Linked DNA regions of Drosophila melanogaster. The protein of the gene in region 1 purifies or fractionates together with the protein of each later gene. This does not show direct contact. Each region holds a gene or a part of one and is shown on either strand. Other genes may lie near its edges.

What was found. Proteins that work in one complex are often made in the same cells at the same time.
Region 2: the proteins of zda (region 1) and osy purify together in Drosophila melanogaster (affinity purification with mass spectrometry, with the first as the bait; one large-scale study listed by BioGRID). This does not show direct contact.

The regions. Positions count from the first base shown.
Region 1 is NT_033778.4:18,627,536-18,635,548, forward strand, and holds zda (zonda), read right to left. Parts: upstream 4,368-8,013; 5' UTR 4,215-4,367; intron 4,101-4,214; exon of another isoform or gene 4,096-4,100; 5' UTR 4,090-4,095; coding exon 3,598-4,089; intron 3,544-3,597; coding exon 3,461-3,543; intron 3,404-3,460; coding exon 3,094-3,403; intron 3,034-3,093; coding exon 2,803-3,033; intron 2,742-2,802; coding exon 2,664-2,741; 3' UTR 2,059-2,663; downstream 1-2,058. Other genes in the region: Sec6 (secretory 6), read left to right, coding at 1-89; Cth (cystathionine gamma-lyase), read left to right, coding at 460-1,641; CG30122 (uncharacterized protein), read right to left, coding at 5,287-5,451, 5,519-5,592, 5,657-5,828, 5,891-6,750, 7,235-7,406.
Region 2 is NT_033777.3:26,315,369-26,323,553, forward strand, and holds the start of osy (oskyddad), read left to right. Parts: upstream 1-2,986; 5' UTR 2,987-3,605; intron 3,606-8,185.

The DNA.
Region 1 (8,013 bases):
ATGCCATGAAGTCGAAGAAGGCAATGGTCAGCATCGCCAAGCAGGATTGCATCTTCAAGGAGATCGTGTTCAGCGACAAACTGTGGTAGACCTTGGAGTATAGTTCCCAACCCATTCCGCATGTCCCTTTCTGTTCAGTATCGTATTTACTCTTAAGCTGCGATTGTAATATTATTGTGCTTTATCAACAAATAAATTATTGTATAAATAATCGAAGAAGTTCTAAGGAAAGTAAGAATATCCATCGTTTCAATGCATATATGTATCGTTACTTTTGAAGGGTTCCGTTTTCTAGCCGTTTAATAGCTAGAGCTCCATCACTGTCGGCGAATGTAGTGTTGTAACGGTCGAAATATTTAATTACCGGCTAGGCGATAACATCTGGCAGGAGTATATATATTCGCGACGGTCTCTCTCCACGTGTCAGTCAGTTCCCAACGATCCTCCTACCCAGACAAGATGAGCTACAGAGTCCAGCCGAGCGGCTTCGCCACCAAGTCCATCCACTCGGGCCAGAGCCCCGACCAGTGGAAGAGTGCTGCCGTGATTCCGCCGATATCGCTGAGCACCACCTTCAAGCAAGATGCACCGGGCGAGCACAGGGGCTATGAGTACTCCCGCAGTGGAAATCCCACTAGGAACGTGCTGGAGACGTGCTTCGCCGCCTTGGATAATGCCAAATACGGCCTCACGTTCTCATCGGGATTGGGAGCCACCACCGCTGTGCTAACTATGCTGAGCAGCGGCGATCACATCATCATGGGCGACGATGTTTACGGAGGCACCAACCGTTTGATCCGACAGGTTGCCACCCGTCTGGGAATCTCAGCCACCTTTGTGGATCCCACGAAGTTGGATCTAATTAAAAGTTCCATCAAGCCGGAGACCAAGTTGGTGTGGATCGAGTCACCAACTAATCCATTGGTAAAGGTAGCCGACATCGAGGCTATTGCGCAGCTGGTCCATGGAGTACGCGAGGATATCGTCCTGGCCGTCGACAACACCTTCCTGACCTCCTACTTCCAGCGACCCTTGGAGCTGGGCGCTGATCTGGTCTGCTACTCCCTGACCAAGTACATGAACGGTCATACGGATGTGGTCATGGGTGGCATCACCATGAACTCGGAGAAGCTCTACAAAAGCTTGAAGTTCCTGCAGAACGCAGTGGGCATTGTGCCGTCTCCATTCGACTGCTATCAGGTGAACAGAAGTCTTAAGACGCTCTCGCTGCGCATGGAACAGCACCAGAAGAATGCTCTGAAGGTTGCCAAATACCTGGAGACGAATCCGTTCGTGGAGAAGGTGTTGCATCCCTCTTTGCCCTCCCATCCGCAGCACAAGATCGCTCTGAAGCAGGCATACGGATACAGCGGCGTGTTCTCCTTCTACATTAAGGGCGAGCTGAAGCACTCCTCGGCTTTCCTCAAGGCCCTCAAGGTGTTCACCCTGGCAGAGAGTCTGGGTGGCTACGAGAGTCTGGCCGAGCTTCCATCAATAATGACCCATGCCTCGGTTCCAGCGGAGGATAGGAAAACTTTGGGCATCACTGACGGTCTAGTTCGCTTGTCCGTCGGACTGGAGGATGCCGATGATTTGATCAAGGATCTGGAGCAGGCCCTTGAAATTGCATCGAAGGCCTAAGTTACTCGCATCACATGTATTTTTTTTATTTTTCGCAGGAATTTGTTTAACCGAAAGCTTATGAATTTGTATATTAATCACCCCAATAAAAGTGTTTTGTCTCAAATGAAAGATATTTATAAACACTTGCTTATAAACATACGTTTGTAAACATATAGACTTTCTGGATAGATCGAATAGATATTACAGATTGTGGCGAACTGATAAGATGTGGTAAATAAAGCTTTGTGTTATTGCTGGTTTTTTTTTCACAATTATTGTTGATATAGTGATCAGATACTGAAAATTGTTGATGTCTTGATAGGTTTATATACGATCGCAGCTGCATTACCTCCACGACCCCCCATAGAAACAGCCTTGGGAGACCCAAATATACCCATTGTCATGTCGATTACCATACGCAAACAATGAATCAGCATGTTTAAATTCGCACCATCATTTAATCATTCTAAGTCGCGATAGAAGAAAATTATATCTCTTGAACGGATGTTCCGATTTGTTTTTACAAAAGTTCGTTTGCCTTTTAGATTAGAGCAGAGTTTAGTTAAATCATGCATTATTTAAGTAACGAACAAAAAAAATCAAGTTAGGAGTTCTTATCAGTGCTGCTCTTATCAGTATCATTACATTCATATGGTATTTCATATGCTTTCTTTCGAACCTTATTGCAAGTTCATAAATATGGTCTGATTTCGATTGTGTTGCTTTATTTCGTTTGAAAATTGTATAAAACATAATGATGAGAATATTGTGTTTATTTTAACAATTCCCGTTACTTGTCTGACAGAATGTAGTTGATTAAACTTAAGCTTTAACATTATATGTACGATATCCAAAACCATACTATTTGAAAGATACATACTATTGTGAAGTGTGCATAGCATTAAATGTACAACGAGAGCCATATCATCATAATAAGCAACTGCGACTTTCCAACATTCATAATTTTGCCTTCTATATATACTTAAAAAATGCATTTCAATTGCTTAAAATAACCAGTAGTTCGTGTGCAATGCTTGTCCTTAGTACTTGTAACGATAAATAGCGACGCCAGCCACTCCAATTAATATCGTACCCATTAGATAGCCAAGCAGCTTCAGCTGAATGACAAAATGAGAATTAACACTCGGTTTTTTTTTATAAACTCATTAGCTATCTCACCTTGGAATTGTCGACAAGCGGCTGCTTTTGCCTGGTGGCAGTATTCTGCTCCATTTTTTTGGCCTGGCCCAGCATCTTTTGATACATCTCCTTTTCGTTGTGCTCCTCACGACGAGCCTTGATGAAAAGTCTGGCCAAATCCGATTGAACGGCTCGATTTTCGGGTTCGAGAGTAGCCACTTTTTGCAGTAGCTTAATAGCACCCTGGGTGTCCGCTTTGCCCTCCAATATCTGCCGGGTAATTTAAGTATTTTGTGAATGAAAATCGATGGTTCTGAGCCAACAACTTACTCTTCCTTTGCGATACAAGGCTTTGGAGTTATTTGGCTGGCACCGCAGCACATGCTCCACGGACTGCAGAGCTGCGTCATAAGCGGCAATCTTGATTTGAGTCATTGCCAAGTTATTGTAAACGATCAACCGATCCTCTAGCAGGGTCTGCGTGTCACTGTTCGAGAGCTCCAAGTCTTCCTTGTCGAACTCGGAGTCCGGATCCCCATCACGATTGTCCAGAAAGTCGAGGGCACGTCTGTACAGGTGAATGGCGGTTGTGAACTCCGAGCGTTTGTAAAAGAAATTGGCACGTTCTTTCTTGCGCGTACTGAAAAGATGAATTATTTTTTAAGAACCGACTAGCAAAGCAAAGAATATAACATACCCATATTTGCGCAGTATTTCAAAGCTCTTAAGGTCCGCAAATTCTTCGTATTTGATATCCAGAAGCTCTATTTCGTAGGTAAGCTGGAAAATTGATATATGTGAAGAGTTCTTATGACAATTTGAATATAAACTTACGTGCGCATCGGGTGGTACCAGGTACTCGGATTCACCCTCTTTTTTCAGTCCTAGGGAGCCGTAGCCGAAGCGGGAATCCACGCTGACTTGGGACACTTCGCCGACCTGCAGCATGGGCAACACCATATCTAATCCTTGGATAACCTCGTAGTCTCCCACGTGACACTGGAAGTTCAACTCGTTCTCGACCACCGTGCCGTTGTCCAGTTTTCCAGTGAAGTTCACGGTGACCAATTCGCCGCGAATCGGACGCCTAAACGAGTCTTGCGGTGCCTTTTTGATGGTGCGCTTAATCAGCTGCTTGTTACCCAGTATATCACATTCCTCCTCTGCATCCTCCTCCTCCGCCTTCTGTCCGTCTCCAGAAACGGATGCCGGGGGTGCGCCATCTCCGGAGGCTGCCTCCTCCGCTGCCACCTTGCGAATGTCTTTGGTGTCCTCGGCGTTGGTCAGGTCCTCGAAGGAGCTGCTGCTAGACTTCTCCGTATCCATAATTACCTATGCTTGGCGAGGCGAAAGTATGTAAATCAGTGGAACTCGGAACAAAGGGCAAAGGCAAAGTGGGAGGGTTGGTCGAGTTTGCTGGTTTCAGAACGGCACACCTAATCTCAACTTACAGCAGTATCTGATTGTGATATCGGATTTTGGTAAAAAAAAAATGATTTAATTTGATTTCAAAAGCAAAATGCGACAAGAAAGTTACTGGGAAACGAAAAATAATTTTACGGACTTCTGCCAGCTAGCCAGTGTGACCAAGTTGCAGTGTGCCCGTTTGCCGAAAATTCCGCTAAGCCGCACTGGTAGTGACTCAAGTAAAAATTTTATCACATTAGTTTATTATTTAAACAGCTTATCTTTAGAAAATATTTATTAGCTACAAATATCCTTTGCTTTATTTTTTTGAATTTCAGTTACTCATAGCACAACTTAAGTTTGAAATCTAAGGCAAACTTACTAATTTTTTTTTGGAAATAAAAATATACATTTAAAAAAAAAAGCAAACGTTAGTTTTTAGTTTAATAAAACTGTTTTAAACACTAAATTAGAAAATACATACTTGCAGACTCCAATATTTCTTAAATTGCATTCGGCCTAATGTAAATTTTAAAATTAGCTGTTTATCGTGTTTTAACGATTTGTCCTTTAAAATGCGAGCGCATTACACACCCTTTCCCAGTAATAAGATCGTTTAAATAGATTTTTTCAATGTATAGATTTATTCGTTAATGTTTCTTCTCTAATGCGTTCATTTCAATTGTTTGCGTTGATTGTAAAAAATAAAACAATAATCGTAATAAACGTTAAAACAAGTTGTACTGCCTAGATACGTAGTGCCAGAGTAAAGACCGCGTTTCATTCAATTGCTTCGTCACTGTCATATAGAAAATGCGTTGTGGAAAATGAAAAGCGAAACATTCACGTTCAATTTCAAATGATATATGTAGTCTTAGTTTTGTACAATCCATCCGAAGGTAAGGTAAGAATTTTGACTTAGGGTTTGGTTAGCCCTCGCAATTGTTTGGTTTCGACTAGCCCAAACTGGCTAAACTAAATTAATTTTGTTTTACTGTTCGTTAATCGTTTAAAACTATTATATAAAGTTTAGTTCAGATTTGTGGTTAACTCCTTTCGGGACAACGCAGAGGGGTCTGGGCCTGGTGGAACACGGCTGCATAGTGTTGCTGCATTCTACTTCTTGTCGGCACCCGCATTGGACTGCGTGGAGTACGAATATTGAGACCAGTAATGATTGGCGGCACCGCCATCATTATTGCCAGCGCCGCCGCCGACATTTACGCCTGATCCGCCACTGGCATTCCCAGCCGCTGCTCCGCCAGAGCCCTGCTGCTGCTGCTGTTAAAGAAACAATATCTTTAGTATTCTCGCTTCCAATGACTTTCATAAGACTCCTCCTGCTTACCTGCCACCAGGACATCCACTGTTGTTGCTGCTGCGGATCGGCACTCTGCCAGGCCTGTTGGTTGCCATAACCTGCTGGGAGAATCAACATAACTCGTATAGTCTTCGCCCTTAAGCAGTCGAACACTGCGTCACTTACTCTGCATTTGGTTATAGGCCCAGTATTGTTGCTGGCCCGCCGCTGCTTGCTGAGGTTGTTGGTATTGTTGTGACTGCTGCTGAGTCTGCCAGATGCCCGTTTGTTGATGCTGCGGCGCCTGCTGTTGCTGATGGTGTTGACTGTACGTACTCCACTTGCCGCTAAGGGAGGCCTACAGGAACGATCGAGATCTTAGCCAGCTGTCATGCGTCGAGGATTTGGTCGCACACTTACCTTGCCTCCGCCAGGTGCTCCACCTTGTTGCTTGTACTGATCGTAGCCACCGCCTACAGCGGTGTTATTGCCATACTTGGGTAGCGATTGACCAGCTGACCGCTCATAGCCACCGCGACTATCTTCTTTGGTGTCGCGGTGGCCAGGCCGAAAATCCCGTTGTTGATGAGTACCACCTCCCGAGCGATAGCTACTCTGGCTGCTGCCCCGGTTCCGGTCGTTACTGCCCATTCGACTGCGGTCGTTGCCACGGTCTCGATCGCGATAGTCCCGCGAGCTGCCGTAGCCGCGGTCGTCATACCCACTTCTGCGGTTGTTCTGCATCCAGTTTTGCTGACCACCACCACCACCACCACCACCGCCGCCGCCGCCACCACCACCGCTGCCGCCTGCGTATCCACGGTTGCGATTGTCGTATCCACGACTGCCGCTTCCACCGCCACCATAGCCGCGATCATCGTACCCGCTTCTGCGGCTGTTCTGCACCCAATTTTGCTGGCCACCGCTACCGCTGTTGTAGTTGCGGCGATTGTCGTAGCCACGACTGCCGCCTCCACCACTATTGCTGGAGTAACCGCCACCGCCGCCTCCCCTGCGGGAGTCGCTCCAACGACTTTCGTGCCGCTGGCCGCCATAATCACGACGTCGGTCATCATTGTATCGATTCCGGTTCCGGTCATCACGACGATAGTTGTCGCGACTTCCTCGGGATCTCTTGTCACGCGACCTCTCCGCGTCAATGGCCTTTTTGCCCTTCTCGTTGTACTTCTTGACCTCGCTCTTGGCCTCGTCACCAGTCAGCTCCGTGTAGTTTATATCATCGAACCAGCCAAACTCCAGCGAGGGAAGTGTGAAGTTGGCTGGAAAAAGATTGCGTGTACATCATCAATAAGGCTGCACAATTGCTAAAATCGCTCATTATCATTACAGATTAGGAATTATTGTAGATGGAGTATAGAGGGAAAGAAGGGATCAACTTTGGCAACCGAACGTAAAAGGGCGCAAAAATTTCGATTTTCAAGAAATCCAGTTGTGAATAAAGTCCATCCTTTATACGTTCCAGTTGCCAAGTGGGGGTTGTTATAGAATAAATGTTAATGAATAATGGTAATAATAATAATCAAATTATGAGATATTTTGAAGGGCTTACAGTTACAATTACGTATAGATACATAAAGTGCAGCTGCTTACAAACTAAATACGTTACATAAGTTTTTATAATGTTTTTCATTTTAACAAGAATGCCTCCTTATTTAGATAGGTAGAATAATAAGTTATACGATCGTACATTATTCTGGATTTTTTTTTTCAATTCGTTGCTTTGGTGTGGTGGATAATATTTACCTCGTAAATTATTAATTGTTGATTCTTTAACTGTAAAAGCATTTCCCTTTTCCTCTTTTTCGGCGATGCGACGTTTCAATTCATCTTCGCTGGGTATGCAAACGACCGCAATTCGCTTGAAGTCGTTAAAACCCTTCATTTTACGTCGCTGGGCCGAGGCATACACATTGGTCTACAAGAATACAGTTGGTTGATCGGTTGGTTGGTTGGTGTTGTTTGGTTGAATTGGGTTCAGATTTTGTCTGCCAGTTGTTGTTTGGTTGGATTTGGTTTGGTTGTTGTTGGGACAGTCGTCGAACTTGAGAAACACGTTGATGATACGGCTCGGTTGGAGACCTCGGTCTACCGGGATCGAACCCAACTCGCATTGAGCTCGCTTGCTTTCAGCGCTTATAATCTAACACATACCTGTTGCACGGCGGGACACCCACTTCCCGCCCACACTCCGCCGGCAAGGGAGCGGGGCCTTACGGAAGCGGTGCGCGCACACCAACATAATACCTAGGGGGCGGCGACGGGTTAATGTTAACCCGGCCACATCTAACAACAGTTGACTTAATACTTTGCATAAGGATAACAGAATGTACTATGGGGGAAAAGTAGTCGCGGTTGGCTGTGCTGCTGGCTGTAGGATGAAGCATCGCATAGCTTTCTGTAGATACACATACATATATATGAGAATAGTTGGCATTTAGAGAGAGAGATAGAGTAGAGATAGTAGGTACTAATACGTATATGTGATTAGATTGTAGGCGAACGACTCGTCGATCGGATTTGTG
Region 2 (8,185 bases), on another chromosome or scaffold:
CCATTTCTGGATGTGGCGGGGCTGTGCCATTTTAATTGAGCCAGTTTGTTTAATTATGTGGCCAGTTTGTAATTATGACGCCCGCGTGGGCGTTGAAATTGAATGTGGCGCGGCAAGGTGAGACTTTCCGTGTCAAGAAGCAAAGGTTTTCATTTACGTTGGCTTTAAGGTTTCGCTAAAGGTTTTTAGGTAAAAAAAATTCTTCCAAAAAAAGAGTAATAAAGCAAATTTATGTATTTGTGTTCCCTACAGATCACAAACATGATTGCGTTTTTGATTATGAAGAATTCGGCAAATGTTGTGCAAAAACTCATCATACGCAAATTAAGCGCATTATAAGGGTCATTGCTGGCCAAATGACCTAGACAAGGGCTCAAACTGCTCGTTAGATGAGCCCAAAGAACTTTGTGGTTGGAAAGGGACTGCCAACTCCACTCAAACTTGACCCAGTCTGTGGCCGAGTTTTCTAGTAGCATCTAGGCAGTGTTACCTGTTGCCAGAGCGAGAGGGAAAATGGACCTTAAGTCATTTGCAACTCGCTTTTCTATGGTTTTTCCTTTTCACTTTTCGCTTTTCCTTTCCTTTCTCTCTCTTAAATCTGGGCAAACGACATTCATAATTTTTATTTACTTTCCTTCTCTCATTTTCGTTTCGCTCTTGGTTTTTCTTATTGCATTTTTATGCCCGCTCCCTCGGCGACATGGCGCGTACCACATTTCGTATACTTAATGAGATTTTTCGCAGACATATTTGCAATTTGGTAAGACCAGTGAGTAAAAGTTGGAACCGCAAAATATTCCATCCCTTTGCCGCCGTCTTTGGTTCAATTTGAAAGTTTCCCTCCAGTTAAACCCAGGAGCAACAAAAACTAATTACAATCTCAAGTTGTTTTTTCAACACTCGGCCAACTTAAAGCTAAATGTTGGTTGGGCTACAAAAAGTATAAAATGAAAATTATATTAAACAGTGCCGCTGCCTGCAGTCGCGGAGCCAGTTTAATTTTAGTTTTTCCAACTATTTCTCCTTTGCTGCTTATTCTTATTCGTATCCTTATTGCTGTTTTGTTTGTGCTTTTAACTTGGCACTTTGTGCGCGAATTTATTCTTTCTTTTGCCCGCTGCAAATTGCACCTCTGTGATTATGGCCACTTGGCATCGTCTTCGCTGGGGTTTAGCTACGGCATTTGGCCATTTAAGAGGTGTTCCCGGGATGGTGGCTCTAATGACATTCTTTCCCCCAGCGATGTGCACTAGACACTGTTCATTAGGAGCCATGCCCGCTCGTTGGGCACGAACCCAAGACAACTTTAGCCAATTCGCGATTGGCCGGAGAAAGAGCAGCTGCCGGGATTCCAGATGGATCCTCGGCGTAAGACGGCACCGGAACATCCTTCAAAACTTGCAGCTAATCTCTGCCAGCAGTCCGGCGAGCGTCTCCCCATGGGCAAGTCCAATTCCAAACTCCGTTGGGTGCCTGTGCCCTGGGAAAGCTGTCAATACACGTCTAAAAATTAACTGATTATTTAACTTAAATGTAATATGTCCTGCAATACTTTTACAAATTAAAGAATATCAATTTTGGGTTGTCGAAAAGAATCTTCTACATTACCAAAAATTTTTGTAAGCATTTAATTATAATTTTTCGGCTTCATTCAATTTTTAGACGTGCAGTTCCCACTTAAATAGTGTTGCGTCATTATTCAAAATGTCAATGTCATTTCAGTTTCTTGTGCTCTCTGGCGGGCTCCTTTCTCGCTCAGTGACACTGCAGACTCGTTTTTTGGTGGCTGAAGTCTCAACTCACTGCACTGACAGCTGATGATTTTGGAAGGATAATAGAGGGGTGTCCTCCCGAGATGCCCCGGCGTTTTGTCATGCTTAACTGCCGCTGCTTTTGAGGCCTTCTGACAGTCCCCCCAGTTTAAAGTTTCATCGAAACTGTGAACAATGGTGGCTGGGCTGTGGATTCCAGTGCCATTTTCTGGCCTGCCTTAAATCATAAGCTCAATATTAGCTTTTCCGGTTATTTCAGCCACTTGTGTCCCTTTTCGTATTTACTTGCTATTTGCCGAGTGGTCCGCAATGGCCATCAATTTATTTAACAAATGACAAACGCTTTGCAAATCAAACAACAATAACTAATAGACAGTTTGTTTGCCGTCCGTTTGTCCGTTTATTTTTTGTTGTTCCAGTTATTTAGGTCCCGAGGGCCGCTTATCTTTGAGTCCAGGCCCGAACAAAAAGGCCGCGTGTGGGATCTGGCGTTTCAATCAGACAACCGCAATAATGCACCATCGAAAATAAGCGATATAAATGTGTGTGTCTAAAATACGTTTGCATTATAGCTAATAACCGATTTGCGTGCCCAACGAACATAAGCCAACTCTGAGGTCGGAGGTCGCATTTGGCCGACGGCATTGTTGCTGCTATTATCGCTCGGGCCTTGTGTGTTTTTGTTACGGCACAATGCACCATACATGATAATCTTTTATTAAGTTTTCGTATGGGCAAGTCCTTTCAGCAGGCTAGTTGCACAAGTGAAATTGTTATTTAAGTTATTAAACTTACTAAATACAAAATAAATATTTTTTTAAAAAAGAATTGTTGATTTTTTGTATATCAAAAAGAGAAAGCTAAAATATATAATTTTTATTTATAATATAGCAAGGACATGAACCACGACGCATTGTGCATTGAACGATCAAAGCTCAATTCCCAAAATGATCTGCTGTAAGCTTAGCTTAGCAAAGACTTCCACCGTGACCCAGATCTGTTCCCACCTGTGCTAGTCAAGTGGGTAGAGTTTCGGCCACAGAAGTCCAAGCACTCCACTTACTATTTTTGATCTTTTAGACGCGTCGTTTAGACGGCTTCATAAACGCGGCTATAAACAAGAGACGTCGCTGCCGACGCCGCTGTCGATAAGGCCGATGCTATTTTCGAATTGGGCGATCTGTCAGCGCTACGAAGTCGGTTTTGTTGAGTTGATCAGTTGAATTCACGTCGTCGGCGAGTCGAGAAGCAAAACGCGGAAACGCTTGAGCAAACAAAGCCGAGAACCTGAGCTGAGTGTTAAGATACTTTTAGTGTGGCTTTGCGCGCGGATTTTTCGCGTTGACATAAACCAGAGCACTTTGCAGATCGTAGTTTCTTGCAAGCGTTGTGAATGAGCCAATTTTAGCGGCGATTATTGTGCAGTGCAGCTTTCAAATCCATCTCAGTGTGGTAATTTTTCAGTTGGCTAATTGTGCAAGTAAAACAAAAATTGAAAACAACAACCACGCTTCGTCTAGTCGGCAGTAGTATCTGTGTACGTTTCGGTGTATCTGTATCTGTGTCCGCTCAATCTTTGCTCAATCGCAATCTTTGGGCATTGCCAAAACAGGTTAACTAAAAGCAAACGTGTTCTTTACGTTTCTGTTGACTTTTGCCAGCCGCAAAGCCAAAAGTTAGTCAGCAAAAAATAACAAAACAACAAAAATAAAGGGGGAAAATACAAATTACGAGGAAAATCAATAACAGACTGTTGCCACAGTTCCTGCAATTCGTGGTTTCTCGCCGGAATAAAAGCAGCTGCGGTCCATTTAAGAACTTCAAGGAGCACAGGTAACCGCAGGCCATTGGCCTCCTTCACATTAAAATGCCAAGGGCTGCTGTGGATGCTGAGGGGATTTCCCACTCAACCAGCTCAAGGATGCCCAGATAATGCAGGGCTTCGCATTCCCAAAAGAAAAAACCATTCAGTAAAAACACCAGCTTCGTCAACGACCTGCTCCAATTCGATTTATGCAGCCCAAGGTCAACAGCAACGGCTTTAAAATGCAAACTCAGGCGAAGTTGAATCTCCAAATGAATGCTTCTGCTTTTGCTGCTGCCTTTGTTGCCGCGACTTTTGTCTCGCGTTTTTTGAACTTTTCAGTTTCGGACGACTTTTGTCGAGGCGGTGTAAAGATGTAGCAAATGACTTAAGGTTAAAGCACAGAGAAACCATGTTTAAGAACTACACTTTAAGTGATTTTTTTTTTGGTTTTTAAGTGATATTTGGATGTTACTTTATCTAATACTTTATTTGACTAAACAATTAAATAAATATTTATTGGCAATATATGTAGGTTTTTAAAGAAAAGGTCTGGTTGTAAATTTAGAGTACTTCTGCATATCAGCTGTCCTTCTGCGAAGGGCTCATAACTCTGGCTCTTTAACAGCCGTTTGTAATTATTTAATTTGCTGACTGCAACCAGGCACTTAACCTTTCCAAAATTTACACACAAACCGCAACAATGAGCGTTGCCGCAAGAACAACAACAATAATCGAGGTGACCGCGTTACTTGGTACAATTAAAACCGCAAAACTCGACTCGTTAGGTAACTTTGACCTGCTCAGCAAAAAAAAATTAGTTTTAAACAACTAAAAGCAGAAAGGTTACGATGCACCCACTAAGTTAAACGATTACATTTAAAGAGAAGCGCCCAAAAAAGGAACCCATTAAGCTCTGACTAATTTTTAGATGATGGTTTAACTAATGAAAAATTATTAAATTAATGTTGGTCAAGGCGTGTGCTCATATTAATTATTTCACATGAGTTGCGCAAAACTGGAAATCAAGTGACTAACACTTTTAAAATTTTTGCCAGGAAATCCATAAAGCCGATGAGGAGTATGTAGATCCGCGCAAGAGGTTCTTAAGATCTTGCAAGTCAGAATGAACGACACGAAACTCGCTTTTCGCATTTTATTAAAAATGAACTTAGTCCACAACAACTCAATCAACAATGACTGCCCACCGTCTTTGTTGGAGCATGAGTAATAAATTTCGCATTCATCAGCTGCCAATTCTATTAGCGGAAATTAAATAAAACTTTTCGGGTCATTTTTTCGCTAAATTGAAATAATTCTGCTTAAATTGCTAATTGTTTTGACCAAAAATTCTAATTAGTGCATCCGTGTTCAATTTGAAGCACTCGTTAGCTGCCGATTGCCGACGGCAATAAATTGCATTTACCATTTCGGCACTTGTTTGGGACTTTTTAAAGTGCAATTAACGCCAAGCCACTGCACAATTATTTATTTATACATTGCATGTTTTTTTTTATATCACTTTTCCATTTGTCGAGCTTTGACAACTCTTAACTGTGGGAAGTGGGCCTTTATTGAGTTTGTCAAGGCGCATCGTCGTTTTGGCCATTTGTTACATTTGCATTCCAGCCAGCGGATGCACATGTAATGGCAATTGATTTACAATCTATGCGAATCAATATAAGCCGAGTAGCAAAAAAATTATAGGCATATACGTGGGTATGTGTGTATATAATTATTCAATTAAACGACCACACAGCGAGCCAAAGGTAACCGCCAATAAAAGTATTCGCTCAAATACAAATAAATATATTTTCCTTTTTTGTACGATTTTCCGGCGTGAGACATGGCTCCACGAATGCAATCAAAGTCGAACTTTATGGACACGAAAAAAAAGTAAAAAAAAATCAAAACGACAGCCAAAAGTCTGTGGCAAATTTAATTTATCTGTTTGATTTTATTTGCAAAAAGTGTCAGATATGTGAAAAACATCATAATAAATGAGCAGCGCGTGAGAAGCCAAAGAATGTGGTATAAAAAAGATATATTTATTTCTGGATTCATAAAATGAATTGCAAAAGGGTGTTATAATTGCCCTTAAAATACTGATACAATAATTGTCAATTTAATTTCCCATTTACCTACAATACCAAGCATTTAAAAGTTTATATTTGAGTTGAAACGACATGTAATGGGACCATTATAAAATATTTGTTGCCCTAATTCATCGCTGTCTTGGCCCATTAATAAATATCAATATAATCAATTTGCAAGTTTCCACACTGACAATTCAGTCAAGTTTAATTATTGTAAATAGCGTTTGAGAAGGAAGTAAAATCAATTATGCAAATACCCCTAACAAAGTTATGAAACACGTTGGGCAAATGGCCGGAATAAAATTGACTATGATGCGAAATCAATGGATTCAATTTGGCGATAAACATAAACAGTCTCCAAATGCGAAAGTAGATTTTCCAACTCATATCATTTTTATGCCGCCAAAAATGTTCATGAGAATATGCAAAGTTTCCTTTCTCGTCATATTTGCAACGTTTATCCCACTTCCTGACAGCCGACAAACACTAACTGTAATAAGCCACTTGTAAGGCAGCAATAATGTAGATCTATGGGCCAGATAGATGTGGTGCCCTCCTTTCGGCACATTTGCATAATCTCAGGAAAATCTTTGGTAACAAGTAATCGAAAATAAATTTGCATAACAAATGCCAGCTTAGTGTGCCAGTGTCAGTGGGAAAAATGAGACATAATCTGCGAGGCTGCTCAGACCAACAATCAATAAAATGTATACAGATGCAAAAAATATATAGACGACTTTTTGCATTGAAGCGCACTGAAATTTAATCAGAATTTAAATTGAAATTCCCTAGAAGCAAAACGAGACGAAAGGTCGCCGCCATTCGGCTATATATGTATGTATGTCTTTTTGCACACTTATTTGTATGTCAGCAAATAGAACAAACAGCGGCCTCCAGGCAGTAAAAAAAATAAAAAATAAAAGAAACAAAGACACCGCACCGGTGCCGAGTAATTGCCAAATGTTTACGCACATATGTACGATATGTGATATTTGCATATAAACAGGCATATGTAGCCGCTTTTCATTCCGACATTGCAACGCTTTTTTAGGGCTCCCCATTTGCATTTCATTTCAAAGCTGGTTTTTTCAGATACTCCTCCTCCTTTTTTTTTCGACGCTGGGAATCGGTCTCCTAGGGGCACACCGAATACGAAGTGCCAAGCGATGGGCTGTGATTTCATTTGGCGAGCGGAATTCGGTGTTGTTTTATGAATGGAACGGACGGAAAATGCGATGACATGATTTTCAAGGGTTTACAGATCGCTGACATTGAGAGAACTCTTTATGGATGGCATTGCAATTCGCAAATCGCAGCACTTAATTAAATTTCCTTTTGTCATCGTCTTAATTGAAAACTGTACCATCCGCCCGTCCGTCCATCATCGTGTCCAGAGGCGACTCCTTAAGTCACTCTCGACAGATTATTCCGGGTTAATGACTCTTTCAAGTGACACTTGAACGCTTCTCCCCGCTAAAAGCCGCTTACAGTCTGGCCTTTTCGGTTGGCGGTCTTGCTCAAGCAAAGAAAAAAGCCAAAAACACAGAAGTGAAGCAAGTAAAGCAGAATTCAGTTTGCGATTACTCACCCAGCAAAGTTGACTAAGCAACTAAGCTCAGCTGGGAGCTGAAAGCCGTGGCTTGAAATTGGATCACAGCGCTCTAGTTTACCATCTATTTTCCATTTTTTTTGGAAGTGTTTGTTTTTGACTGAAAGCGCTCAACTGTTAAACCGAATAAAATGCAATGCCGGCGCATTTTTAATTGTTATTGCCACTGTTGTTGCTTTGTTGGCCGTTGTGGTGTTGACTAAATTTAGTTGAAAATACAGTTGAACCTTGAAAATGAGCGTGGAAATCTGTGCATAATTGTTTGGAAAATGTTAGCACAATTCACACATCAAACCGTAAACCAAAACAAAAGTCTGCAGCTCGCGTGAGGTCGTCTGTTAATTATTACAATGCGAACTCTATAAAAGAATACAAATTGAATACTGAATGCCAGGCAAAGTAATTACTGCAGAAATATTAAAGTCCCATACGAATGACCCTCGTTTTTCGGTTAGTTAAATCATAGCCAAACAATTCCTGGCGATAGTCATTGCAAACACTTGAATAAAAAAGAAATACAAAGCATTTGTCACCGATATTTATTTATACCTATATCCAGAAAATACAGCTGTGTTCAAAAAAATAAAAGCACTACAAAAAGTTGTATTTTTTAAGTCAGAAGGGTTTTTACTTTCTTGCAGAATGAAATCAATTACATTTTGTGGTCTTAATAATAAAAGTAATGAAACGTTTTTAAGTGACCTTGCCTTAAATAAACATTTTCCTATTATTTCGCTTACATCTGTATGTATGAATATGGAGACGAAGCGATGTGCATAAAAATGCACTCAAATAAATTTGTATTTTCATTTTTATGGTAAAACAAAATGGCTTTTGACTCGTGCATTTCATGTGCATTTGAAGCTCGTTTTGCTGCCCTTTATTTATATTCGTATTTTACTGT